2 linked regions of the Styela clava genome follow. The protein of the gene in region 2 interacts with the protein of the main gene of each other region in a biochemical or structural test. Links are inferred from orthologs where the notes say so. Each region holds a gene or a part of one and is shown on either strand. Other genes may lie near its edges.

Region 1 (7,749 bases), about 18 Mb from region 2:
CTTGCCCAAAGGCATAGAGCAAGAAAAGGTGGTTAGTCTCTTGTAAAACCAAGCATGAGTTGATTAACTCATTTATTTGATTTATTATTTAGTAATAAAGTAAACCTCTTCCAGTTTCTGTTGATAAAGTGGTTGGTTGACATCCATGTCATCCACTTCCATTCCGTCTGCATTTGGATCAATGAATCTGAAATAAATAAGATAATTAGAAGATGTTTTCATGTTTGTTAGTCTAATGCGTTTTCAATTCTCTTAATATTATCAAGAGATTTATAATAATTTATTATTCGGTTAATAAGCTTTACTATGAAACAAGCCTTATTAAATGTAAATGAAAGAAACAAATTTTTAATACAGTTCATTAATCTGGTACGTGGGAGTAATTCCAATCGCTTTTTGTTGCAAAGCCTATACCCGGGTGCAATTTATCATCTATGTCTATGACGTTACAGCTAGCTTGTGCGAAGCGAACAACGCATGTCATAAGCTTAATAACCAACATTTTTGTGCCTGCAACTACTACAAAGCATATGTTGAAAAAAGGTGAGGCCCATGGTTTCATCTAGTTATTTGTATCTGGCCCTTTCGTATAAAAGATTGCACACCCCCGGCATAGAGAATTGGGGTAAAGATTCAAAGAATTCCAAGGTTATACACACATTTCAAAAACATTTACTAAAGTGAAATCCTCATTTTAGACTTTAGACACAATGTGATAAAATCATCATTTGATAACGATAACTGCTCCATAAAAATTATGATTTAGTACCTGGTAACAAATTGACTGAATTTTTCCTTGCAATGACTGACAACAACATCCGTTCCCCATATTACAAGTTGGTTACTGACTGCAGGTTGATCAGCAGCATCAGATATGTCTGCATTTTGCGGCGCTGCATCAGACGACTGAAAAATTAAATAAAGATAGTTGGAAATGGCCAATAGACCAAAAAACCTGTTTTGGAGGGAAAGTTCCGAAGAACACTCCATTCTAGTATCTGTCATAAAAGCAAAACAACACAACATTTTGTTGATAGGCGAGAGTTTGCAGTTCTGATGTCAATTGTAAGATTATCACCTGTTGGGCATCTGGGTTCACATTAACAGTTCGAACTTTACTGCTGCTTCCTAGATCAGGTCTCTGTCGTACTGGTGTAGCAGCTCCACGAGGAGTTCGACCAGGAGTACGAGCACCAGGTGTGCCATACAACAATGGAGAAGACAAATTCAGCTCACTGGCACCTGTGCAACAGTCGGCAGATTAGTATTTTGTAGTTAGTAATTATAAAAGCAGTGAAGGATTATCCTATTTTTATCCCAGAGTAACATATGGGAAACTAGTCCATGCTGAGTACGAGAAGAGCTAATCAGTCAATCATTCCAAATGCATGAACTCTGATGGTGGAGAAAGTCAAAAATGGCTAGCTGTGATGGGAGCCAGTCTATTACTACAGGAAGTTCAGTGAAACTCTCGCACATAATCTGAAACAAATAACTGGTTAACTATTCCCATACCTGACATGGACTGGTTATTGGACGAGAAACTGTGATTCACCAGATGGATTGAAACATCCTACTAGCGGCTTTCTTTCTCTTCTTCAGGATAAATATGAAAATCCTATGCTTATCCGGAACAGACTCAAACAGACTCAAACATGAATAGGAATTAGGATTGACATATTTATCCAGTGAGAGAGGAAAGCCGATAATATGGCTTAATGATATAGCCAACCACGTTATCTCGTCCAGTTAACAGTCCATGTCGGGTATGGGATTAAATAGCCAGGTATTTGTTTTAGGAAGCATGAACTAGATGCCGGAGGAAGCCATAAGCGACCAGCGGTTATGTGAAGAGGGGGCGATGAGGGGCCAGCATTCCCCTTGCGTATTACCATCCCCACATCAAATTCGAACCTGCGAACCCAAGCAGAGTAATTAGAGGTGTGTAGTGGCGAGTGTATTCCTAACGCTTAGAACAATGCACTAGTTAGTCACGCACTGCCAATTTTTTGAAATTTATACATTACCCAGAATAGATCCAGGACTTGGCAATATTGCATCTCTAGAAACATCCAATAACCTGGCAGGTGATGTTGGTAAGAGGTGAGGATCACTACTTCCTGATGGAACCTGACAATGAAGAAAACAAACATAGGCTATTATTCTCAAAGACTGGGCAAGAATTGATAATGCATTATCAATTGAAATCAATGGCAGTGAAAAATTGCTATATTAATTCTATTTGCAGATTTGAGCTCTTTTCAAGATAAACCCAATAGGGCCTACTGGTATCACTTTGCTGAAAAATACAAAAATAACAGTAAATCCAGCTATAATTCTGTAAATGGAACACAGATTGACTAACAATATAAGACTGTAAGACTAAAAGAAACACACCTGTGGTCGACCAGGAGACTTGGGATTTCTTCTTCTTCTTGAAGCTAAAGTAAAGAAAATAGGGCCACATATTACCATACGCTCTGTATTCAGATATTACATTACAGCATTAATGTATTACAGTATTATTGCCCTAGGCCAGTAGGCTAGTTTGGCAAATGTCAAGAAATTGTGAGACTGTCCTATAGGGCAGTTGAAAAAGTGAAACAGACACTCAATTTTTTTATGTTCATAGACCAGAAGATCTGAACACAGGAACATGAAACAATCTCCAGATCTAGCATTGGTCTGTTGGTGTATATTTTTAAATTTGCTTCACATACTGACATACGGTAAATAAATCACATCCTCTATTTTTAGATTTAAGGTACGACGCTTTAAAATATTTTGGCAATCAGTTTCGCAAATGGTTGAATAAATAGCATTTACAGATTTAAGCCTGGCAATACACAGTGAAATCTTAGCAAAACGTATTATAAACTTAATACTCACGTGTCGATCTATCAGACATGGTTTATTCCCCGATAAACGTCAAGAACATCAAAAATTAGGCAAAAGATGACTGAGTTGGTGTCAGGCAACCTGGTAAACAAACTGGCTTATTGTCGAAGCCTATGCAAATGTTTAGCTTTCCCGCCACACACACATGTTCACCGGTCAATAAGAGGAGTGCCAGATCGAAGTTGTTTAGCTCCTGGTGGCGCAGCGCTGCATGTGGTGCGTCTGCTCAATGACATCGATCTGCTCAAAACTTTTCCAAGCAGGGATAAATATGGGATGGATAGATAGTTAGAACGTTTGAAAACTTAATATCACACACAAATTAAAAATAGAGAATTCTGAAACGCGAGCCAAACTTTTAAAAACGTTCGAAACATGAAGTTGATCATGTGCCCGCCCACCAGCACACACATAAAGAAAAATTACAAAAAACACAAACCTAGTTAAACGCGGCTTTGGCCAGATCTAAACTACCAATGAACTTTTGGACTGTCATACTTAAATATGGATTAAAAGTGTAGAGAGCGAGAGGAAAAATCGCCTGGTTTCCATTTTAGATGTGATATAATAATATGGATAAGCAGTAATTTGTTGTATTGCCCGATTGTAAATTTTCCCCAATGGCTCTGTTCTTACATTTAATTGGGTCAGAGTGACCAAAATAAATTGTTTGATTGATTCTATTTATTGATATCATTTTAAATTGTGTAGAAGTATTTGCACGATTTTAAATCGCGAGTTCAATCAGTCCATCATTTCATTTCGTTATTCCGACATAAATCGTTGCGATCATTAAAAGTTATGGCCGCTTTTTTTGATATCTCTGTATTCTGTTTACTTTTTGTGTTGTTTTGATTCATGTTAGAGAACTGAAATACAATGACTGAACGAATTTAGTGTTGTGTAACTACTTAAGTACCTCTGATTCAGCGATGTTTTGATTACTGCAACTAAACAATTTCTAGGACAGTAGTTCTCAGACTTCTATGGTTCGGGTGTCGCTGCTCGATAACCATTCCTGGTTCCCCGCGACTTCCCTTCCCCAGTAAAAATGTGTTTTCAGGAAATGGGAATGGGAAAAAATAAACTTGACTATGACTGCGACACCATTACAAAGATCCACCGAACCTGTGGCAGCACGCTCTTCTGTAAAATACCTACTTTGGCCTTTGGAGCCATTTCAACAGTTATTTTAAAGGGATTTTAGGACCTTTTATCCGAAAAGTGATGATGCGTTCGTCAAAACTACGAGTCACGACTATTAAGTCCAAGGCGTGTGCGCTTTTATTCACAACTGGAATATTTCTGGTAGAACGCACCTCATTCACTCCTTAAATAATATACACTATGAAACTAAAACTTTATTACAAACAGTGGAAAATACAAGGGATATATATACATCTACATCCTATAACAACTTAATCTTTTGAATTTATCAATCACGTATAAAGCTGTTGGACGTTTCGAACAGACTGTCGCCAATTTTCTGCCCATCTCTCTTCACTGAGTGTTCTTAATTCTTCCTGTTCTTTAATTTCACCCATGACTGAATTATAGGCTTCAGTGAAGGCTGTAAGGCATTTATCTCTCGTGGTTACGGATGATGTGTGTGAAAGCGTCGTCTTGTTGCAATTTATGTCTTCTGTAAATTTGAGAAAATGATTGAAGTTTAGATTCATGCCATTCAGGGTAAGTTAATACTAGAGAAGAAACACACTTGCACTTGCACCTCTAATCTGTTCCTTGGGTCAGCAGGTTCAAATCGTGTGATGGATATGTGTGAGTAAGAGGATTGACTGAATCTGTTCAGAGGTAGGGTGGTGCACATAACTGGGACATGAACCAGTAGGGTATATAGCCTCAATTGATACGTTTTTACAATAGATTCTACAGACACATAAAGATTTGATCGGGACATAAACTTGCCATAGATATAATTGATTTTCTCCCCCTTGAAATAAATAGGAAAATTCTATCTCGCCCAAAAGGAAGTCCAGTTTGAGAGTAACCATAATGTGATCAGTTATTTTTGTGTAGGCATACCTAGCGAAGGAAGCCACATTGTGATGATAAGAGATCCACCAATTCATTGAACAAGATACTCCCAAACAGGGTTCACAAATGCCTCCATGAAGGGCAATAAACCTAACCCGTAACGCAATGAGTCAGTGAGTTTTAAGAAATGTTCAAATTTAGAAGACAAAATTTCAATACCTGCTACTTCAGTTAATACTTCTCCCTTTTCAAGAAGATGAGAAACTTCAAGCCCTGGCCAGACATTAGGTCCACGTGGCAAAGATGGTCTATATGAAGTGTCATGCAGATCAATACCAGCAGCTTTCTTCCTTAGTAATATACTAGTCGGTTCTTTTTTCAACTCAATTTCTAAAAAATATGAATATAAATAATTACAAAATAGGATTATCAAAAAAGACGAAACAGGTTTATCATATAGCGCAGGGGTCACCAACACGTTGCCCGCGGGCACCAAGTCGCCCGTGAAGACCATATAAGTCGCCCGCAGGTCTGTTCCAAACTGAGCTTAATAACGGCGCTTATGAGTAAGCTACATCGATTAAATTTTGTCCTGCTATTTTTGTATAAATCACACTTATATGGGAATCGGGAATGGCACTATATTAATTATTGTAGCCATCAACCTGATTTTTATTTGACCCTCAGTAATGTGACGGGTCAATTAACACTCTTCCAATTATGACATCACACTGATATCACTTACTACGAACCCGCACTTCCGCGCTTTTTCTTTTCCGTTGGTTTGTGGAGCAGCAATAATATAATTATTGATTCCAAAGAAAAATGGCAGAAAACGATGAAAAACCCACCATTTTCACGATGATTGGGGGTGGATATATTTTTACCAACATGAAAACAGCCTGCGCGTGTCTCATCTGTGGGGCGATTGTAGCGACGGCAAGCGAAAAGATATTTCACGGCTTGTCACGCAATCTACCGCGCTAACTATCCAGCGCAGTACGGACAGAAAAAGCTCGCGATTCAAATCATACAGCAATTCTATTTTACGAGACCATTGTTTCGTTCAACCTATCTTTGTGAATCAACATTTTTGACATAAACTCAGGATAGGATGGGATTTACATATTTATCCCGGGCCATCCCAACGGCAGCAAGGGGTCCAGCAATCCTCTTGCACATAACTATCCTCGCGAACCTAACGCTTAGCACACTAACGATGGCCACACAGCTGCGACTTTTTAGAAGTGTACATTGGATTGGTAGCCCGCGGCTTAATCTGTACCCAGAAAGTAGCCCTCGGCCTCGAAAAGGTTGGTGACCCCTGATATAGCGGGTCACAGCCTCTTATCCGGTTAGCAGTCCATTTCAGGAATGGGAATAGTTAATCAGTCACTTTTTTTAGATGTATGAACTTGATGGCAAAGGAAGCATTAACCAACCAGCGGATACATGAACTACCCTATGGCTGTGATGATCCCAGTAATCCCTTTTAAGCTTACAAAGCCGAACTAATCTCTAAAATTATCATCAACTTATACAGTCACATGGGGCTATTAAGTAGTTACTACACAAGTTAGATCACAAGTTATAAGTTAGATGGCTAATCCTGCCCTCTTCCCTCAATAGTAAATTCGAAATTCAACGCTAAAACCGAAAATTGTCCAATATCAAGATATTTTGAAAGACTAAATTCGCTAATTAAACATTGATGCCATTCCTGTTAACTGGATGAAAAATTGTATAAGTATCAACTTTACTAAAAAAACTGATACTTTTTTCAATAAATATTCGTATATAATGTAGAAACTAAATTTTCAATCCAACACACAAAGTGTCAAATTTAATCTGAACCAGCCACAAATCAAATTATTTACCAGTCATCAAAACATATGACAATAATTCATACTTCCTGAATTGACATCATCGATTGTGAGAGAATAATCAAACTGATCCAATAAACTTGCACAAGCCTGTCCAATATTGAGCAAAAAATGCTTTGTGACTTCATGAGCCTTTTCATTCAAATCCTTGCTGTGTTGTTGAATACCAGACAAATTTTCAGCCTAAAAACAAGAGAGCGATGCTTAATATATGGGCACGAAGACCAAAACGAAGTAGTACAGCTACCGGTACTAGTGTAGCAATCGCAAAATTTTTTATAACATTTTCGCACACAAAAAAAGAAATTCTTTGAAGCCCACAGATTCAGATGCACATACCTCTGGGGCACCGATTATAGAACATATTCCAGAGAGAACATAACGTTTGTGCAAAACGTTCTATATTACTGCAACTTTTGGGAAGAATCATACACAAACAGAGGTTCAAGTGTTAAATAAATTTTCTTTATTTTTGTAGGAGTAATTAAGAAATTTACAAGTTTTGTTTTTTTGGTTACCCTGTATATTCTAAATTATCATTTGGAGTATCATTGGAAAATAGTCTCAACAGCGGATAGTCTCAAAAGACTGAGACTGGCATCACTATATTATCACGATATTTCAGCTTGCTTTTTTATTTCTGTGGACCAAGATCTGGGATGTTTGATCTATGTTAAGGTACCTATGCCTTTGTTCGCATAGTTTAACAGTAATTTTCTAGCATTAGGAAACTTTGGATGAACTATAATATACAAATTAACGAGTATAAAAATGTCAGCACCTTCTGAATGAACTCAAAGGGTTGGGTGAAATAGAAATAAAAGGATTACAATATCTGAAACAAGGGCTTTCAACCAGTGGTGGGATTCAAATTTTTTGTTAGCCGGTTCCATCAGAAAAGTCATATGTTCTAGTCGGTTCTGTTGCCTAAAAGTCATTGACAGTAACCAGTAATGGTAACCGGTTCACTGGT
Region 2 (7,902 bases):
GAAAGAGATTCAAGTTTTATTTTTGCCTTTTCTGGCGTGTAAAAAAACCTGAAAAAATTTGAGGCAGTGTGGAAAGGATCCCGCAACCTAACACGCCGCCGGCAGAATAACTCAAGTAAATTGAAGGCACCGCGATGTTGTGTGACTCGACTTTAAAAACTGTTACATTCGTATTAAACATACCTCCATACTATGCAATAAATCGTACCTTAATAAGGGCATGGCGAATGATAACTATTTCTCTGCCAGAGGATTGATTCGATGCATACATGCTTCAGCACTTTCCTGTCGCGAAAGGATCTTCTCCAGTGCCATTGGTCAAGGATGGGCATTCCCTTTTAAACCCAAAACCAGTGCACCAAAATCGCGCGGCTTTCGCCGAGTTTGCCCAAAGGTCAGCTCGGACCCTGTAACCACGACCTAATCGGGTCAATTATACACCGAAACCAACGCCTCATAACCACTTTCGGACTTCAGAAAAAGTTTTAAGGCCGTTTCATTTTCTACTCTTGAAGATTGATCAGGAAAAACCACTTGCTTCGCCTCGTCATTGCGGGAGAATAAAAGTGGCAAATGTCGTGAACCATTCACCTTTTATTTCAATTTCTGCCACCTTTTGCAGCACCCATTGCTATTTATCATTTACGTATCAAAAGTATCTTTTTCAACTGTTATATTCACAAGCTAATGACGAATGAAATTACAGTGTAATACAAAATTAAAAGACGAAAAAAAATCTAGGCAAAATACGGAGACAGTGTGTAAAAAACATACAATCACAGTCCAGTTAATCCTGCTGCTTTATAACAAACTGGTTAGTCGAGTACCACGTTTTCCAATCGTAGTTCAGCATCTTGACAAGTTTTCCGCCATCTTTAATTTCTTGATTCTGCGATTTGAGCTGTGAAATTAAGTACGGAATAGTAGCAAGAGAAACTGTACAAACTTTACCTGTTCATAAGCCCTAACAATTCTAATAAACTTAGTCACTTCCAAAAATCCCATCGTCATCGCTACCAGGAGCAAACCTGCTCGATATTAGTAAATTCTGCCGAAAAGCAGCGCAGCCACCCTCCATAGCGAAGACACCCGTCTGTAACCAGCGACGTCAGCCGATGGCTTTCCTTGACAACGTTGAGTCCTGATTGGCTGTACCAACGCACGTGATCAGTGTTTCTTTTTTCTCGAACGTTCAATTTGACAAAGAAAGCACGTGACTGCCTGATCAATTTTACGTCATTTCCCTTCGTTCTCACTTTATGCCCTCAGGGTATAAACACATCACATCGATTTATAAAATTGATTTATACAAATTAAAGAACTGTACGGCCAATTTCAACTCTTCAGGAATTATTGAAACTTAGAATATGTGATCGCCATTCAACCGTATCGGCGTAACCTCATTTTAGTTGGAATTAGCTAAATTTGTAATGAATATTCGTTTACTAATTTGGTAGTAAGCATTGCCAAACAGTATAAGATATTGCGTATACCAATATCTTATTTATTCAGAAATAAGCGGCCAATATACTCCCGAACTACACATTTTCTCCTTTCTAATTTACTTAAATCTACTTCATCTTTCAACTATCGTTGAGTAATATGTCCCATATACATAGCAATTTACGAATGTATGTAATGGAAAACTCAAACTGACTTACTTAGCGATAATGTGTGAGCGCCTATCGTGACAAATTAGCAGATTGCGAAAACAAAAACAAGCGATTCTTGATTACGTTGTGATTAAGTCGCATATCTAAATGCAACCATAACAAAAGTTGTAATTCTATCAGGGTCTCGTCAGATAACACATGTTCGGATCAAATGCCCTTATCTTTGTTTTTGGATAAATCCTAATCTGACTACGAATTACGATTAATTTTGATAGGCGATCTCAATAGCCTAAAAGGATATAAAACGAATACCCTCACACACAAATGAATTACACTTTAAATTCATTGACAGCAGCAAATCAATCAAGTTTTGCAAATCAAACGCTTTTCGCTGCGGGACATCGCAAATTTGTCATTGAAGCAAAAAACTTTGAATTGTCGCGAGGTGGAGAAAGAGATTTATGAAAAGATTATTTATTAGGTTTATTTATTATTTCAACGACTTTGTGGGAGATTTAAATTTATCGTTCGCGAAGATCTTTGAAAGCGTTGTTTATGGCGGTTAGTTTATGAATGGGCGTTAATAATTCCGTTTCTAATTATTCGCGACGATACAGTACTTATTTTCTGGCCAACCAAAGTCGTAATTACAGAATTAGGAAGACAGGTGTTTTCTAGGAACATTCAACGATACGGCCAGGACCAGGCAGCGGTTAAGACTGTCAGACAGTCTTGTATTAGACAATTAGAACAGCGCATAATTGCCTGTGATAACGGCAAAACGGAATTAGAGTAATAGCTGTAATGTTAGATTTTGTCTGTTTGTTCATGTCGTTGTGTTGAATAATTATTTAGACTGGTTGGCAATGGTTTATTAGCAGACTGCTTTTTGATTCAATGGTCTCCAGGAATGTCAGAAAGTTTTAATTTTTCTAGTATTACAGTATCAGAGTATTCTGGTATTGAGATATGCAATTATTGCAAACCTAATATGTACGGTTAAGTGTATATATTGCTATATTGTGTATTTCGAATAACATGTGAAACTTGATTGGTTTGCTAAATGATACTTTCTATTCAACCCGTACAGCTGTATCAAAGTTATACTTTTTATTACTGGTGTGACTGATTGACAACCAACATTCTGACATTGGTTTTTACAGGTCACCGTTATCATGTTTTTTTTCCGTGTATTTTTATTTTGGTAAAAAATACACTTCTGGCTGACTAACTTACTTATGTTATGTCTCATGTTTCAGCTTTTGAAAATTTTGTGAATTTCCATCTTGTTTTGTGTGTTGTCATCCAGTACAGCACATACATACATATCTGTCCAGATTCCAAGAATAGCCCCTCCACATTGGAAGACATCAATTATAACAATGATTACAAACCCCTCGTTTATGAGACAGTCTGGGCCTTCATATTGCCTTAGCAATCCAGCACTGCACAATAGACAAAAAGAAAGCGCAATCTAAAAACGCACCATTGGAATCTTACGGTAATCATACTCAGATTAACAGAAGACGAAAAAAATTTGTCTGTAGCATTTGTGATGTTTTAGCAAAAAAAACATGAAATTTTAGTTACCGTATTTTCTCGAAATTACGCCTATCTCGCGAATAAGCCGACTCCCTAATACCAGCTTCAAAATAGTGAATTTATAAAAATTCGCATATACGCCGTTTCTACAAATCGTAATGGAAGACAGCACTTTGCGGATTACTGTCAACATAAAAGGAATTAAATCAGCGCCGACTTGAAGTACCGAATGTATGACATGACAACATTTTTGATTGAAAATATTTTACAATCCTTATTTTATATTAACGTAGTCGAGATATCCTGAGCGGCAACGGCAATAAATTTGGTTATTTTTCGCAAGTCTTCTCAAACATGATTTGTGTAAGCTTCATATATGGGTTGATATATTTTATAATGTATGCCAAAGTGTCTGCCGATTATTTAATTGACTTTGTATACCTGCTGTTATTTGTGTTAATCCTTTAAAAACAAAAACGTGGGAAGCACTTCCTGCCCGATATCGGCACTTCAGAAAGAAAACCCTACCACGAGATAACGTAATTGATTTATGACCCTTCCGTTTTGCTGATTCAGGAAAAAAACGGAAAACACAGCTGTTGCCTAACCCATGGACGTACAGCAATATTTATCACACCATATTCATATGTTATTTCAACTTTTCAGTTAAATGGTTGTTCAAAATAATTGAAATTACAGTTTTATTGTTAAGAATTAATGCTGTGACTGTGAGTATTATTCTACCTGATTCTTACTTGTAAATTTATGTTAATAACGTCTATATTGCTTTTCAATGCGCGGTGATTTGTATTAATGAAGGGATAAATCAGAAGGGATCAGCATAAAACAATTTCTTTCAAATCGCATGTTGTATTAACACATTCTTATAAATCGCTGATTCGGAAGTTGCTATTAAAAGGATTTTCAAACGTCGTAGAATGAATGTCGTTTTGTGACATATTTACAAGCTCCACTATTTCGATGTTGCTCCGTACTGCGATTTGAATAATTTTATTTATCATTTAATTTTAAATATTGTGTCATCACCTCAACAGCGTAAGCGATGTCATGCATATGTAACGGTAAATATTTCAATTATAACGGAGATAACAGTCTTTATCAGGGCAACTGAAAAGGATAACATATCGTAAAGGTGATCAAAATGAGGGCGCCGTTACTTGCGTTGTACCCGATAGTGCACTAAATGATAACGTTTCACCACGAAACGCTGGCCGTAAATCGACGCCAATCAGACTGTACGAGCGTCACGTGTTTAACAACCAATCACAGACTGTACGAGCCATCAGCTGTATGATGAGACAATCACACCGGCACAAGCGATTGTGTGTGTGCGTTCTTTATCGTGAGAACTTAGAGCGGTTTGAAGCTTTTGGAATTACCGGCAAGTTAGCTAAATGTCAATCTCGTTGCGTGATCAAAGTCATGCGCAAATGAGTCGATTTTTTTTATGCAATCTGAGTTATGCGAGTATAAGCCGCCCCCTTAGTTTGGCAACTTTTTTTTTGTGTTTTAAACTCTGCGTATGTGCGAAAATATACGGTATGTGCTGAACTACCAGCCTACTTTATTTTGGCGGCAGATTGTGACTGTAGTGACAGAATTAATAAAATAATATTTTCTGCTTTCAGATATTTATTTTATATATTTCTATATTTTATTTAATCCAAGATATGTCGAAGCCCGAGTTATTGGAAACCTTGAACAACTGTGAATTTTTATCAAAAAAATTGAAACTTGAAATTTGCAATTCTAACATTACATCACTGAGATCGGATACTGTAAAATGTTTGGATGTATTAAAGCCCATACATTCAGAAAATAATGAAGGTAACTAATTAGATTTATCAATTTTGTGATTGATAAAATACTAATATTTACCCGTTTTGTTGTTGATTTGGTTTCTGCGGGACTAACAACTTATTCTTCTTCTATGCTTTTATGTCCGTATTCATATAATGACTGAATGATGGGATGCTGTAGCAAGAGGGAAGAACTATCTTGAATGATTCAATAGTCTTGCTGCACACTAACAGCGAGTTGATTAGTATGCAGCAAGACTCCTGTGTCCTTTTCAGCTTATGAAATTTTTGGTAGATTTCAATTTCTAATATTAAATCAAAAATTTTAAGGTATAATTACATACCGTACTGATAGAGAGAGAATATGAAATTATAAAATGAAAAATGAGTCAGCTGATGAAAATAATTTTTTTTCTACTATCCGACACTTTACATCAGACTTAATAAGATATAGTAATATTGTTTAAAAGTTTGATTTTCAAATACGAAGCTTTTATATTATAGTTTAAAGTCGTCTCCATCGAAACTGCATTTGGGCTGATATTTCATGTTAGTGGTCAGACTTAAAAACCTCAATAAGTATGTAATGAGCCAGTAATGGAGCTCAGCCCGGTGAGCGTGAGTAACGGGAGTGTAAAACTGTGATGTCATTATAATTGAGACAAGAGAGCTATGCTCAAATATATGGACACGTAGCGCCACCCAATGGCAATAATTTTGATGACGTCATAGCGAGAAAAAAAAGTAATAGCCTTCTGGAGAAAAATTTTATCTTTAACCACTGAAAATTTCAAAGCAATTGGTCCAGTATTCGAAGAGAAAAGCAATTTTTTAAAAATGGAGAAGGGGACAAATAACAATAACAACAAAATTTTGAAACGATCGTTATGTCCACTTTGTGTCCAATAAGTCTTTAACCCAGTGGTTTTCAAACGATGGGGCACGACATTTTCACAGGGATGGGGATCTAAATAAAACTATTTGTTAGATCTGATCTTGCCTGCCTCATTTTAGATATTCACATTTCTTTATTGTTTAGTTAGAGATTGCGATTCAATCCACGTATTTTCAACATGTTTTTTTAAATAAACATGCTTTCGCCTTACTATCTGTTATTTGTAGCCATTTCTATCATTAAATTAATTTAAAAAAACTAAATTATGCTACTGTTATAAATATGTCATTTTTAGAGTAAATTCCCCGATCAGACTAATCCAAAATTTATCTTCGTTCTAATCAGATTACCTTTTGTAACTAGTACAAATAGTTTTCTATAAACTGAGAGTTCAATAAAAAAAAAACTGTTTCAATTTATGTATTCATTCATGTGTTGTATTGGGTGGTAACTGACTCAGATGACCGTAAATCGTATCGTTAACTCCCAGTCATACCGAAAACATTTGGTTCACTTATTTTGTTATTATTATATTTTATATTATGTGTTTTCTGGTTGACGAAATGATGAATTCTCTCTCTCTATTGTTAGCTTGTTATTTTTGAAGCGTTTTAGCAAGGTTTCTAGTGCTTTTAGATGTCTTTTCACTACTTTTAAGCGTTTTAACAAGGTTTCTAGTGTTTTTAGACGTTTTTTTCACTGTTATTAAGCGTTTTAACAAAGTTTCTAGTGTTTTTAGACGTTTTTTTCACTGTTATTAAGCGTTTTAGCAGGGTTTCTAGTGTTTTTTCACTGTTTTCAAGCGATTTAGAAAGGTTTTTAGTGTTTTTAGACGGTTTTTCACTGTTTTTAAGCTTTTAGCAAGGTTTCTAGTGCATTTAGACGATTTTTCACTGTTTTTAAGTGTCTTAGCAAAGTTTCTAGTGTTTTTAGATGTTTTTTTACTGTTTTTAATTGTTTTAGCAAGGTTTCAAAATAACACAAGCCTTGACAAATTTTGATGTTTGAACCACTGCTTTAGCCAGCTTTAACCAACAAATTTCTTATTTTTTAGACAATGAAGAAAATTCAAATTGCAATCTCACATCGATAAGTCCACCATTCCCATCTCGAAGACGACTACGTGGCGTATTACAGAACAAGACCAATGTTCAAGACTTCAACGATAAAAAGACATTGAATACCAAAACGAAGGAAAAAGAACCTGTTTTGAAGGGTATATTGAATTTTCTGACTCTGAGCTAATACTCCTGATTGTCTATTGGCACGTCTGTAGTTTCGCGCAACTTAACTCAGAGAAGAGTCTCATTTATATCTGAGTGAGTCCACCAAACTTTACTCAGAGATGAGTCTTCTTTACTTCTAAGAGGAGTGCCCATAACTTTGCTCAGAGATGAGTCTCATTTACCTCTGAGTGAGGACATGCAACTTCACTCGAAAATAATGCTCTTTTACTTCAGAGTATAATAATATAAACTCGCGGTTTTGAACGTGAACGTGCAGTCCAGCGTGCCGCAACAAATTTCAGTTTAAATTTTTCACTTTTGCTTATGCATTACTTCCTAGATGCAACAAACCCTGGTACGATAATAGAACTTGTTTCTAAAGTTCCTTCTGTGCAGAAATATTTCGACGTCAAGAAGAGGATTGGCTGGGGTGAGTATTGTAACAACACATTTGTATTATTTATTGCATTATAGACATCTAATACATATAACTATTCCTATACTAAGTGACGTATCTACATAAAATGGAGCCCATGTCAAAGTTTAAAAATTCACCTTTTGTTCTTTAATTAAAAATTGTAACGAGAATTGTTGAATTGAGATATTTGTACATTATTGTTATTCTTCAGGTAAAAATACCGGTTGCAATTATTTCCAATTTGAATTTTTTTTGTCGAAATATTTCACTTGGCTATCAAAATTGTTCACCTTTTTGCACCCAATGCAAATGGCCCCATGGCTGCCATACCCTAGATACGCCACTGCCCATACCCAACATGGGCTGGACGAGAAGGCCATAGTTATCC

Evidence for each region.
Region 1: of the proteins of cell division cycle 7-related protein kinase-like (region 2) and DNA replication licensing factor mcm4-B-like, one has a biochemical effect on the other in vitro, tested with the Homo sapiens proteins (2 studies listed by BioGRID). The link is inferred for Styela clava from reciprocal best matches to the Homo sapiens genes CDC7 and MCM4.

Annotation. Positions count from the first base shown.
Region 1 is NC_135254.1:19,994,737-20,002,485, forward strand, and holds the start of DNA replication licensing factor mcm4-B-like, read right to left. Parts: upstream 3,141-7,749; 5' UTR 2,909-3,140; coding exon 2,890-2,908; intron 2,442-2,889; coding exon 2,398-2,441; intron 2,131-2,397; coding exon 2,028-2,130; intron 1,243-2,027; coding exon 1,079-1,242; intron 907-1,078; coding exon 770-906; intron 188-769; coding exon 106-187; intron 1-105. Other genes in the region: coiled-coil domain-containing protein 180-like, read right to left, coding at 4,338-4,540, 5,113-5,283, 6,803-6,959. UniProt on the Homo sapiens protein: Acts as a component of the MCM2-7 complex (MCM complex) which is the replicative helicase essential for 'once per cell cycle' DNA replication initiation and elongation in eukaryotic cells.
Region 2 is NC_135254.1:1,872,821-1,880,722, reverse strand, and holds the start of cell division cycle 7-related protein kinase-like, read left to right. Parts: upstream 1-4,804; 5' UTR 4,805-4,846; coding exon 4,847-5,003; intron 5,004-6,924; coding exon 6,925-7,086; intron 7,087-7,436; coding exon 7,437-7,526; intron 7,527-7,902. UniProt on the Homo sapiens protein: Kinase involved in initiation of DNA replication. Phosphorylates critical substrates that regulate the G1/S phase transition and initiation of DNA replication, such as MCM proteins and CLASPIN.